2 linked regions of the Drosophila melanogaster genome follow. Each later gene encodes a partner of the first gene's protein in a complex. Each region holds a gene or a part of one and is shown in the gene's direction. Other genes may lie near its edges. The genes, in order: cac and Rbp.

What was found.
Region 2: the proteins of cac (region 1) and Rbp are in contact, whole or in part, in a crystal structure (PDB 4Z8A), measured with the Drosophila melanogaster proteins. Residues at the interface, in NP_001245639.1 of Drosophila melanogaster: Ile1688, Gly1689, Arg1690, Arg1691, Leu1692, Pro1693, Pro1694, Thr1695, Pro1696, Lys1698, Pro1699, Ser1700, Thr1701, Leu1702; in NP_732029.4 of Drosophila melanogaster: Ile1353, Leu1355, Tyr1356, Tyr1358, Leu1363, Pro1365, Asn1366, Val1367, Asp1368, Val1372, Glu1373, Thr1378, Gly1379, Asp1391, Gly1392, Phe1393, Leu1404, Pro1406, Ser1407, Asn1408, Phe1409.

What each region holds. Positions count from the first base shown.
Region 1 is NC_004354.4:11,981,849-11,987,058, reverse strand, and holds the start of cac (cacophony), read left to right. Parts: upstream 1-1,971; 5' UTR 1,972-2,164; coding exon 2,165-2,382; intron 2,383-3,143; exon of another isoform or gene 3,144-3,223; intron 3,224-5,210. Other genes in the region: gd (gastrulation-defective), read left to right, coding at 1-9, 89-640, 763-1,276. UniProt on the Drosophila melanogaster protein: Voltage-sensitive calcium channels (VSCC) mediate the entry of calcium ions into excitable cells and are also involved in a variety of calcium-dependent processes, including muscle contraction, neurotransmitter release, gene expression, cell motility, cell division and cell death.
Region 2 is NT_033777.3:15,372,762-15,377,802, forward strand, and holds the start of Rbp (RIM-binding protein), read left to right. Parts: upstream 1-1,873; 5' UTR 1,874-2,100; coding exon 2,101-2,207; exon of another isoform or gene 2,208-2,916; intron 2,917-5,041. Other genes in the region: Ccm3 (cerebral cavernous malformation 3), read left to right, coding at 1-2, 88-252, 625-709.

The sequences.
Region 1 (5,210 bases):
GTTCAAGAAGTATGCATCCGGATTTTGGTCGGTTAAAACACACACACGATCGTGACATTCATTCGTTACTTAATGTCCGCTTTTGTAGAAAACCCTTTGCCCAGGCGCCCAAGGAGATTTGCGGACGCATCGACAGGGATCTGGACTTTCACTTGTCCCAAAGAACGGAATCACTTCATGTCGCAATCGGTGAACCAAAGAGCTCCGATGGCATCACATCGCCAGTTTTTGTCGATGACGATGAAGACGATGTCCTGGAGCATCAGTTTGTGGACGAATCAGAAGCAGAAGCGATAGAAAGCGATAGCGCCGATAGCCTGCCATCGATCACCAGGGGATCGTGGCCTTGGCTAGCGGCCATCTATGTGAACAACCTGACCTCCCTGGACTTTCAGTGCGGCGGTTCGCTTGTCTCGGCACGCGTTGTAATCAGCTCGGCGCACTGCTTCAAGTTGTTCAACAAGCGCTACACATCCAACGAGGTGCTCGTCTTTCTGGGCCGCCACAATCTGAAGAACTGGAACGAGGAGGGATCTCTGGCGGCCCCCGTCGATGGCATTTACATTCATCCCGACTTTAACAGTCAGCTGAGCAGCTACGATGCGGATATCGCAGTGATTATACTCAAGGACGAAGTTCGGTGGGTGCCAATATGCCTAAAGCTTACATATTCAAGATTTAGATTCATATCTAAACCGCGATGTGAAATCGAATATGAAGATCATTTATTATATTGACAGTATACCATTATTTTCAACGCAGATTTAACACCTTTATTCGACCCGCTTGCCTGTGGTCTGGTTCCAGCAAAACGGAGTACATTGTGGGCGAGCGGGGCATCGTCATCGGCTGGAGCTTTGACAGAACGAACAGGACGCGGGATCAGAAGCTGTCGTCGGAGCTACCGGGCAAGAAGTCCACCGATGCCAGTGCACCCAAGGTAGTAAAGGCTCCCATTGTCGGCAATGCCGAATGCTTTCGAGCCAATGCCCACTTTCGCAGCCTATCCTCAAACCGAACGTTTTGCGCCGGCATCCAGGCGGAGGAACGAGATACGCATCAGAGCGGGGCGAGCATTTACACCGGTATATCGGGGGCCGGACTTTTCATCCGCCGGAACAATCGCTGGATGCTGCGTGGCACAGTATCAGCGGCCCTGCCCGCCGTAGAGACACCGGATGCGGAATCTAGCCATAAGCTTTGCTGTAAGAATCAGTACATTATATATGCCGACGTGGCCAAGTTTCTGGACTGGATCACGGCCTTTGTAATTTGAATCACATCCGAAATGTGTATGGGAACGCATTTCTAAGTGAGCGCTGTGATAATAGCCCCTTGGGCATGGCGATGGGCAAAAGTTACTCGGAGTAATTAGCGGTTATCGGTTTTTTCTTTTTTTTTTTTTGCTAGTTTCATTACGAAAACTTCTGATTATGGCATTTCAGTTTTATTTTTATCTAAGACAGTAGGGCAATTCAAATAATAAATTATGGCACGGGAAAGCCAAAAAGGAATTTTCCCATAGAATCGCTGCGCTTTTAGATCTCCACCATAATATTAACATTAAAAATCTCGAAATTTGCAATGTTTAAATTCCTCTGACCACATATAGAAAACGTGTATGTTGAAAGAATCACAGGTATGTTTGATATCGAAATTAATTGTAATACAGTAACGTTTACCATGCCTTTGTTATCAGTGTGTTGTTGGCGCTCGTGAACAAAGGAAGCTGCTAATATGCCGGAGTGGGCGGCCTGGCCCGTCTGAGCGGCGTTCACCCATGGACACCTGGACACCCTAATTACCAGCGGCAGACACTGTACTGCGCAAATGCTGACTACTATCAAGCACGTCATCGCACGTCATCAGCCGCAATCGTCGTCATCGCCATCTGGGCCGTTATCTATCTTGCTGGGTTGTTGGGGCATCGACAGCAGTCGTAGCCATCGACTATCAGTTCCGTCCGGACCGTGGCAGCTGGTGCATCACACCTGGGGCTCTGGGCCCGTCGTCTACGGACATTCGCAATCGTTGAAGATCCCCAAACAAGTGCAACGCATTGTATTGTGAACGTGCCCGATAGTTGGTAGTGAATATATTACAGAAATGGCAATATTTGGAGTACATTTCGCGTATTGCAAAGTTCGATTCATCGATTCCCAGAATGCTGGGCGGAGTGGGAGCTCGTCGCCGAAGGGGCTCATCTCCTATGGCGCGATTGACCATTAGCAACATCAACGGTCTGGATGACAATATTGCCATCATCGGCGATGGCGTCATCCGGCGGAGCACGCACTACGGCTCGCAAGGGTCTAACAAAAGGCGCCGGGCTCCGGAAAGTTTTGCTCTTGTCCAGACGCGACCGAATCTAGGCGACCTAATGTGAGTACCACTACCAATTTAAATATAAATTATTTAAACTTAACATTATTTTAAAAGATCAATTGATATTTAGAAAAGTATTGAAAATTGGTAAAAATTCATTATTATTAAAGATAGTATGCAAAGGTAATTGACGAGGGTTATTGAAATGTACAGAGATAAAATTAAGTCTGAAATAGAGTAAAATATGTTGTTTGTTTTATATATTAATTAATTAGGTCAAGTATGAGAGCGCCTTTGATCATTTGTAATTCGGTTAAAGCCGGGTTTTCAAATAACCGATATCTTGATGCAAAAGTTTTTACTACAAGGGGTTGAAAGTATTCTTAAAGCTTAAAGCTTTATCAACAATTGTGGCAGTAGTAAATCAATTACTTAAATCAATTAAAAAAAAAACTCTTAGAATGGGTAAGTAGCTTAAACTTCGTCGCTTCGCTTTTTTTTTAAACTTTAGCAGTATGATTTAAGCCCGGATTTTAAAACCGCGATTTCTCGAAAGTTCGATAGTTTTGTTCCCAAGGGGTGAAGAGCAAGCGGAGCTTAAAGCTCAATCGACGACTGTAACGGTCCTAGGAGCGGGTTTCCTTGGAGGACACGCATGCGCTCTCCTCCGCACTGGCTGGCCAGTGTGTCCACCTCCGATTGTCCGATTGAGCTTGAACTGAAGCTTGGACCAGAGCTTTCGGGCGGATGCAGAGCGCAGGGCTGGTAGATTTTTTTCCCCATATTTTTGCCCTTTGTGCGTGTGTTTGGACCCTGGCGATGTGGTAGTATGTGATACAAAGTCGCCGAGTTGAAGTCTTGCGTTTTGTTGAGTTTTTCGTCCAACTGGTGAGACAAAGTCGGTGGTGACAGCTCCCGTAGAAGCGGTTTTTGTTTTTTATTTTTAACTCGGGACCCAGTCAATTTAACAGCAAATGTGCGACAACTAAAATGTGGCTGAATACAGAAGCCTGGCGTTAAAGAAATCAAGTGAAAATCACTCGCAATGCGGGGTTAAAAGTGCTGTGAAAATTCCACATTTCGAATGTTGTGTGCGCTGGCATCCGAATTCGGGTCGAGTGGTGAAAATAACACTACAAACATCCAAACCAAGAACAAGAAATATAGTCGGAAAAGCGTGAAAATCGTGAAAAATCGTGAAAAACCCAATGGCAAAACGTCGAATTGGCGACAATGGCGGCGAGGACAGCAAAAATAGCAAGAAAAGATATCGGGAAACCAAGTGAAAAGCATTATTCGGGCTTACTGAAGCCAATAAACGACCTCTGATTGTGCTCCTCCAGGCAACCAGATCTAATTTTTATTTTTAGCCACATTCATATACATATATATATGCGTTCGTTTCAAATCCCAATTACCGAAGCTATCCTTAAAAACCAGTTGTAAAAGTTAAAGTTAACAAGCCCCACGAACGCACCACACACACACCAACACACCCGCACGAATATACATATCCATATACATATACATATACATATACATATATATGTATAGCCATATATATATACATAGTTGTTGGGATTGGGTCAGCGGGTCGGTAGCACAACGGGCGGAATGTTGCGTCGGTGGTGCTATATATTGCGGTGGATGGAAGTGGAAGTGGATGTGGCAAGAGGCAAGTGGAAAAGCAAAGGCGAAAGGAAAAGCTAAAGCCAAAGCTAAAGCTGAAGGAGAAGGAAAAGGAGATATGGAGTTTTCGGGTGTTTTTTAGCCTATCGGTATATCGTTTATTTTTGTGACGTGTACACGCACTTTCGAGGTGAATGAATTGCGGCGATGTAGCAGGAAGCACCCCCCAAATTAATATTTAAATTAACTATATTCTCAGTCCACACAAATATTTACTAGTCGTAAATTCCCCAACCCACACACACACATACAAATCTACACATGTATATGTTTTCCATACCGGAAACGAATTCTAATGATGGTTCTCCTCTCTTCACGGAAGTGAAAAATTTGTTTGTCTCTGTTCTTTTAACAATGCTCATATGAATACTCGTATGGGGAATTGAATGCGAGCATATGAACAAATATTGTGGTAGTCGTGTGCTCTGTAACTAAACTTATAACGACATATCAAATTTCAGTTAGTTGGTTCTTTAAGCCCAATTAAAAGTGTAACAGTTTCCAGAAAAAAAGAAATAACAAAAAGCGTTAGTTTAGAGGGGGCAACGATGGCAAGTGTGTCATTGTTGCTGTTTATTTTTGGCAATTACAGGTTCGTTGGTCTCACTGTGGCCCGATTGTAGTTAGACACACAGATATATATAGCTTCTGCCCATTCCAAAAACCCAAAATCGTTCCGAAAGACATCGTCAACATAAAAAAAAAAAAAATTTCAGACAACTGTGCCTGGTGACGTCACTAGGGAAAATAGAGCTGGAACTATACAATTGCAATAAATAACAAGAATTGCTTTTAAAGAAAAGACATTGCTTTGCGCAATTGAAAATGAACTATTCAAAATAGGGCAATAGTTAATTTAAATGCAAATGCAACCAGATTTACTGGGCCCTTAAAAGTAGGCAAGCGATTTGTGGTTGCGATGTTATCGTTATCGGTGTGACCCAGTGATTGTTGAAACCAAAGAGAAAGAGTGAGAGAGAGAGGGGGAGAGAGCTTCTGCCGGTACGTGTGTATATGTGTGTGTGTGTGGATGGAATGGAGAGAGTTGAAATTTGCAAATGCCAATTCTTGTTATCAGCCCCGTAAATCAAAACATTTGATTGATCTGCAAATAACTGTAAAGATAAAACCTTGTTCGTAGTTTCACTGCCTTATGGGCTAGTTTGTCAATTCAAGAATACTCCGTAAAAGGTAAA
Region 2 (5,041 bases), on another chromosome or scaffold:
AAGTAAGTAAAAACTCAAAATGAAGCTAAAACTCACTGCATAAGCTTAACTGATTAATGAATAATGAAATTTTACTGCGTTTTACAGGGAAATCGCCAGCGCCATAAAGAAACTACTCGATGTGGTCAACGAGATCGGCTCGTTTATACCTGGCGTAACGGGCAAGCAGGCTGTGGAGCAGCGTAAGAAGGAGTTCGTCAAATATTCCAAGAAGTTCAGCACAACGCTGAAGGAGTACTTCAAAGAAGGACAGTAAGTATTAAGAATCACCTGCAGTGATTATTTACTATATGTGTTATCAAACGATACGCTGCGACGCCATGACAGCCGGTTTCTTTAAATCGGCTCATATCTGGTTTCTTATCGTTTCGGGCCAACCGTTGAGATGATGTCATTCCATTGGCATTCCGGGTATTGTTTGGTTTATCATTTTGCGCCGGAGATTCTGAGGGGCGGATATTAAGCCGGACCCCCGCCCATTTTAAATTGTAAATTGCTTCGATTACGTACTAATGGCTATTACCGCTGACCTTTTCATGAAATTGGGGCCAAATTGCATTACTAATTCAAATTGCTTCAGCAAGGATTTTCTAACCGATTCTCTTTTATTTTATCTATTTTCAGACCGAATGCAGTATTCATAAGTGCACTTTTTCTAATACGGCAAACGAATCAAATAATGCTGACAGTTAAGAGTAAATGCGAGTAGAGAATTAAATCCTTTAATTATGGCAAATTAATTAATTAGTGGCATTTTAATTTTATGTTTAAATAACCATTTAACATACCAAGACCGAAACAAATCAAATAAACTCAACACACTTAAATACAAAATCGCCCGACGCAGTCCAAGTTAAATGTTTGAACGTAAATGAAAATCTGTTGTAACTAAATAAATAGGCCTAATTTATATCGTATATACATATGTATTACACATACTCGGACACAAAATTTTGCGAAGCCTAAGCATTGTAATTAACTAGTGAGCAACTATTTATGGAGACGGACGATGTGTGCGAGAGTTTATTTTTCGTTTACAATTTATTGTAAATAATTCATTCTTTTTCTGTTAACAAACAACATCGGCTAGTTTGTTTTTGTTTAGGAGAAGCGCCTACGAATAAATTTAAAATTAGTGGAAAAAAAACGAGAAACAGGAAATGTATGTACTACGGGGAGATGACAAACAAAAACATTAACGGAACACTTAAATTTTTAACTGTTTTTAATTGTTAGAGTTTGAAATTTAAACACTATACATAATAATCTTTTACTTAATGATATGTTCTATTTGAAAACTGCGAAAGCGAAAGACATTAGTGGCCGACAGCACTATCAACAGGATGGAGAAAAAATTATTTTAATTAATAAAATGTTATATGAAAATCGAACACTAAGCAAAAGTAAAAGAACGGCAACAAACTCATAATGTAGACATAGCGAAAAGAAAACGACAAATAAATGTATTTATATTCCAAAATTGAAAAGAGTGTTTCATATTTAACCAATTTACGTAAAATTACTTTATAATTTATAGTATTAGGTGTGGTATGATGTGGAAATAATTGTTTTATATTACCCGAGAATTGATTTCGAAAATCAGAGATTGGTAAACTGAAATCAAAATCTCAGATTTACACGCACATGTCGTTAACAGAGGACAGCGCTGTTAACGGATAACAGCCAAAAGTAATAGTAAACCCCCAATAACAGGCCCTGAGCAGAAATTTACCCAGTTGCAACCCCAAAGGAGTCCTTCTGAGAGCGGGAGAGAATTGCCCGTTTTTCAGTGTCATTTGGCAGAAAAATCGATTCCCCGCACACTGAATAGTGGGCACTGGGTACTGAGTGCTCGGCTCTGGGTTCTCTGGGCCACTCTGCTCTGGCACACTGAGCACCGAGCTGGCAGTTGGGTAGAAATCAGAGTGCGCCAGCAGCGCGACCGAGATGACCCACTTTTCGGTATTCGCACTGAGACCCAACTGCTACTACCCACAGAAAGTGGACAACTAGGCGGAGTTTTTTTCTATATAGTAGCAGTGAAACGATCGCGTTTTTCGGATATATTATGTACAGCCTACGTAGCCTAGTGTAAACTATATGCATTTATGTGAATTTCCCAGCGCAAACGTGGAAGAGGAAAACAGGCGACCTGAAAAAGCAGCAGCAGCAGCAAGCAAGAAGCAGAAGCACAAGCAGCAAAAAAGGTTCGCAACCCGTTCAAAAGCCCCCGAATACAAAATATTACAAAAAGTTAACCCAAAAAGAAAGGATAAAATCCTGTGCTTCCGAAAACGAAAACCGCAGTTTAAGCAAAAAGTGTCAAAATCGCGTGGTAAATACTTATTTTGCGCAAGCTGAAAAAAAGAGCTGTTATGCGAGCGAGCGAGCTCACGAAAAATTTCGCTGTACACCAAATGTTTGCCCAACAGCACCGCTGCTGCGTGAAAATTTCATTTTCTCGCCAATAACGTGAAAAAGCTCGCCGCGAGTGCAGTTAAAAAATCCAGTGAAAGATATAATGATTCCGGGAAAATGGTGGGACAGTGAAAAGTAAAAGTGTAAGCATATCGATAAAGGCAAAAAAAAAAAAAAAATACGAAAAAGAGCAGCCAGCGTAAAACTACACTCTCCCACACACACTCACATGCATACATATATCCAAACATATACATATACATACTCGCCCACATGCTGATGCATATACAATATGCAAATGCGGGTAATCACTGTAAAACCGAGGCAGGCGAAATGGTGAATGAAACCGAAATTATAGAAAAATGCCTAAATAAAATCGGAGAAATTGGCTAAAAGCAGAGTTCAGCTACATTTTGGCACAAAAAAGCGCGCACCCACACACACTCACGCATACACCCGCCACACACATACAGAGAAAGCGAAAAGAGCGAGAGGCATGTAAGTAAAGTAGATGTAAATGGCCAACGAAACTGGAGCAGCACCAATACCACTGCAAGTGCCACAACGGCAGGAGCAGCATGTGTGTGTGAGCGTTTCATATTCATAAGCTTCCAGCAGCACCAGCAGCAGCAGCAGCAGAAAAGTCCCACTTTTTGGGTTCGCACTCTGGGGGCGGTTTTCACTTCACACTTGTCCCACAGCCTGCGCAACAACAATGTTAAAGTTGTTTGCTGCTGCGTGCGTAACACACATACTACATACAGTGTACACCCACCACACACGTTCGTGTGTATGTACGTATGCATGTACATATGCATACATATATATGTACACTAAAGGTATCTACAGCGTGCATGCGGTTACCGTTACCTTCTCTGGAGCGGTGTTTTAATACCCGTAACAGCACTTTCCACCGATTGAATGCTTTCACGTATTTCGTATATATTTATAGCCCACTGTACTCAGTTTCCACTGCAATGATCGAAAGTCACGCGTCGATGGCCTGGTACACGTTGCGGATACTTAATACAACATTATCACAACCTAGACGGGCTTATTATGAAAAGAAAGTCTTCATAGCTTCCTTCTATAAATATGTAGTTTTTTCTGTAGATGAATTAAAACATAATTGGCCAAATTTAAATTAACATGTTGCATATGTATTTAATACATGAAGAACTCAAATGTGCAACTATTCAATTGAATTTTCCTTTAAGCCAACAGAAAGATCCCCCGTGTTGAAAAATATAAAGAACGGCTTGAAAAGAAAAGCCATTATGATTTTATTGGATTTTTCCGAGCAGGATTAATCGTTGAGTTTGGCCAATTTTGACAGATGGCAATCATTCAATAATTTATATGCTGGGCTGCCAGCCAAACTGCGACCATGAGATGTCCACAGGCGGGGATCCCCCTGCTTCTCTCCGAACCACTTCCCATTTCCCGGTTTGGCGGTTTGGTTTTCCACCCCATAACTGTGCTATGGTTTTTTTCTATAGTATTTCAGCGCCAGAAGCGACGAAATTCGTGGGTCTGTGTGTGTGCCTGTGTGTGAGCAGCTTGTTATAAATAGGCAAGATAGTTTTTGTGCTCGTGTTCTGGTTCGCTTTTTTCCTTGGCTCTGCGATTGAGGTCATGCCAGCAGCAGGATAATGAACTTTTCCCAACATCTTAAATGTAATTGTAATTGTAATTGCTCGACTTTAAAAAGTTTCTGCTCGCAGTGTTATTTTTAGGACTTGCCACTCGTCATATTCTCGAGCACATTGTCGACTATTTATGCATGTAATTGTTGGCAATGGCTGTTGGCCCCTGCCTTCGTCGGCTATAATTGCTGCAATTAGAAGCACTTGATTGTTATGGCCCAAGTGTGTGAGCATTCAATTAATTGAACGACAGCTCATTAGGGCATCGAAGAGCAGACAATGGTGCTTTAAAACTTTCACCGACCTTTGCTGGAGAATATGTAAATATTAGCTTGGTATGGCCAACTTTTTGCATTTTTCGTGAGTTTGCCAAGGCAACCGATTCCGGATGCTAATTAATTGCCTTTCTTTGCAAACTTGTCTGTCAACACACAAGGTGGAAATTGCCATTTTGCAGTTGCAACTTTTGTTCTCCCGCTTTTTTTTCTTGGTTTTCTGGGCACTTCATTTCAAAGTAAATCAAAGTTGCTGCGCGCCAAAAACCAAAAACGCAACAAAGTTTTTAAATTAGTTTGTCGAAGTTTGGGGCCAACAAAGTTGGCAGGAATATTTCGTTTCATTTCTTTGTGGCGTTTTTTTCCAACCACGAATAGTCAACGAATATTGTTTTAATTACGACTTTTTGTATATTTCACTAGACAGTCGCCTTGCAGTTGTAAATGATATTACGCATACGGCACGTTGTGCGGAAATAAAGATACTGTGCTGGCAGAGGTTACCTTCCCAATTCCCTGCTTTCTCCCTGTTAGATAACGTGCCTCAGTTCCGAGTGAATGGGAATTTTCCATTTAATTTACTCCGATGGCCGCAACGACTTTGGCCAGAATGTGGGTTAATAGAGTGTAAAGCATAGCCAGGCCGCAACCCAGTTTTGGGTGGCTTGGTTGGTTCCATCGGACCTCCGAAGAGGCTGCCTG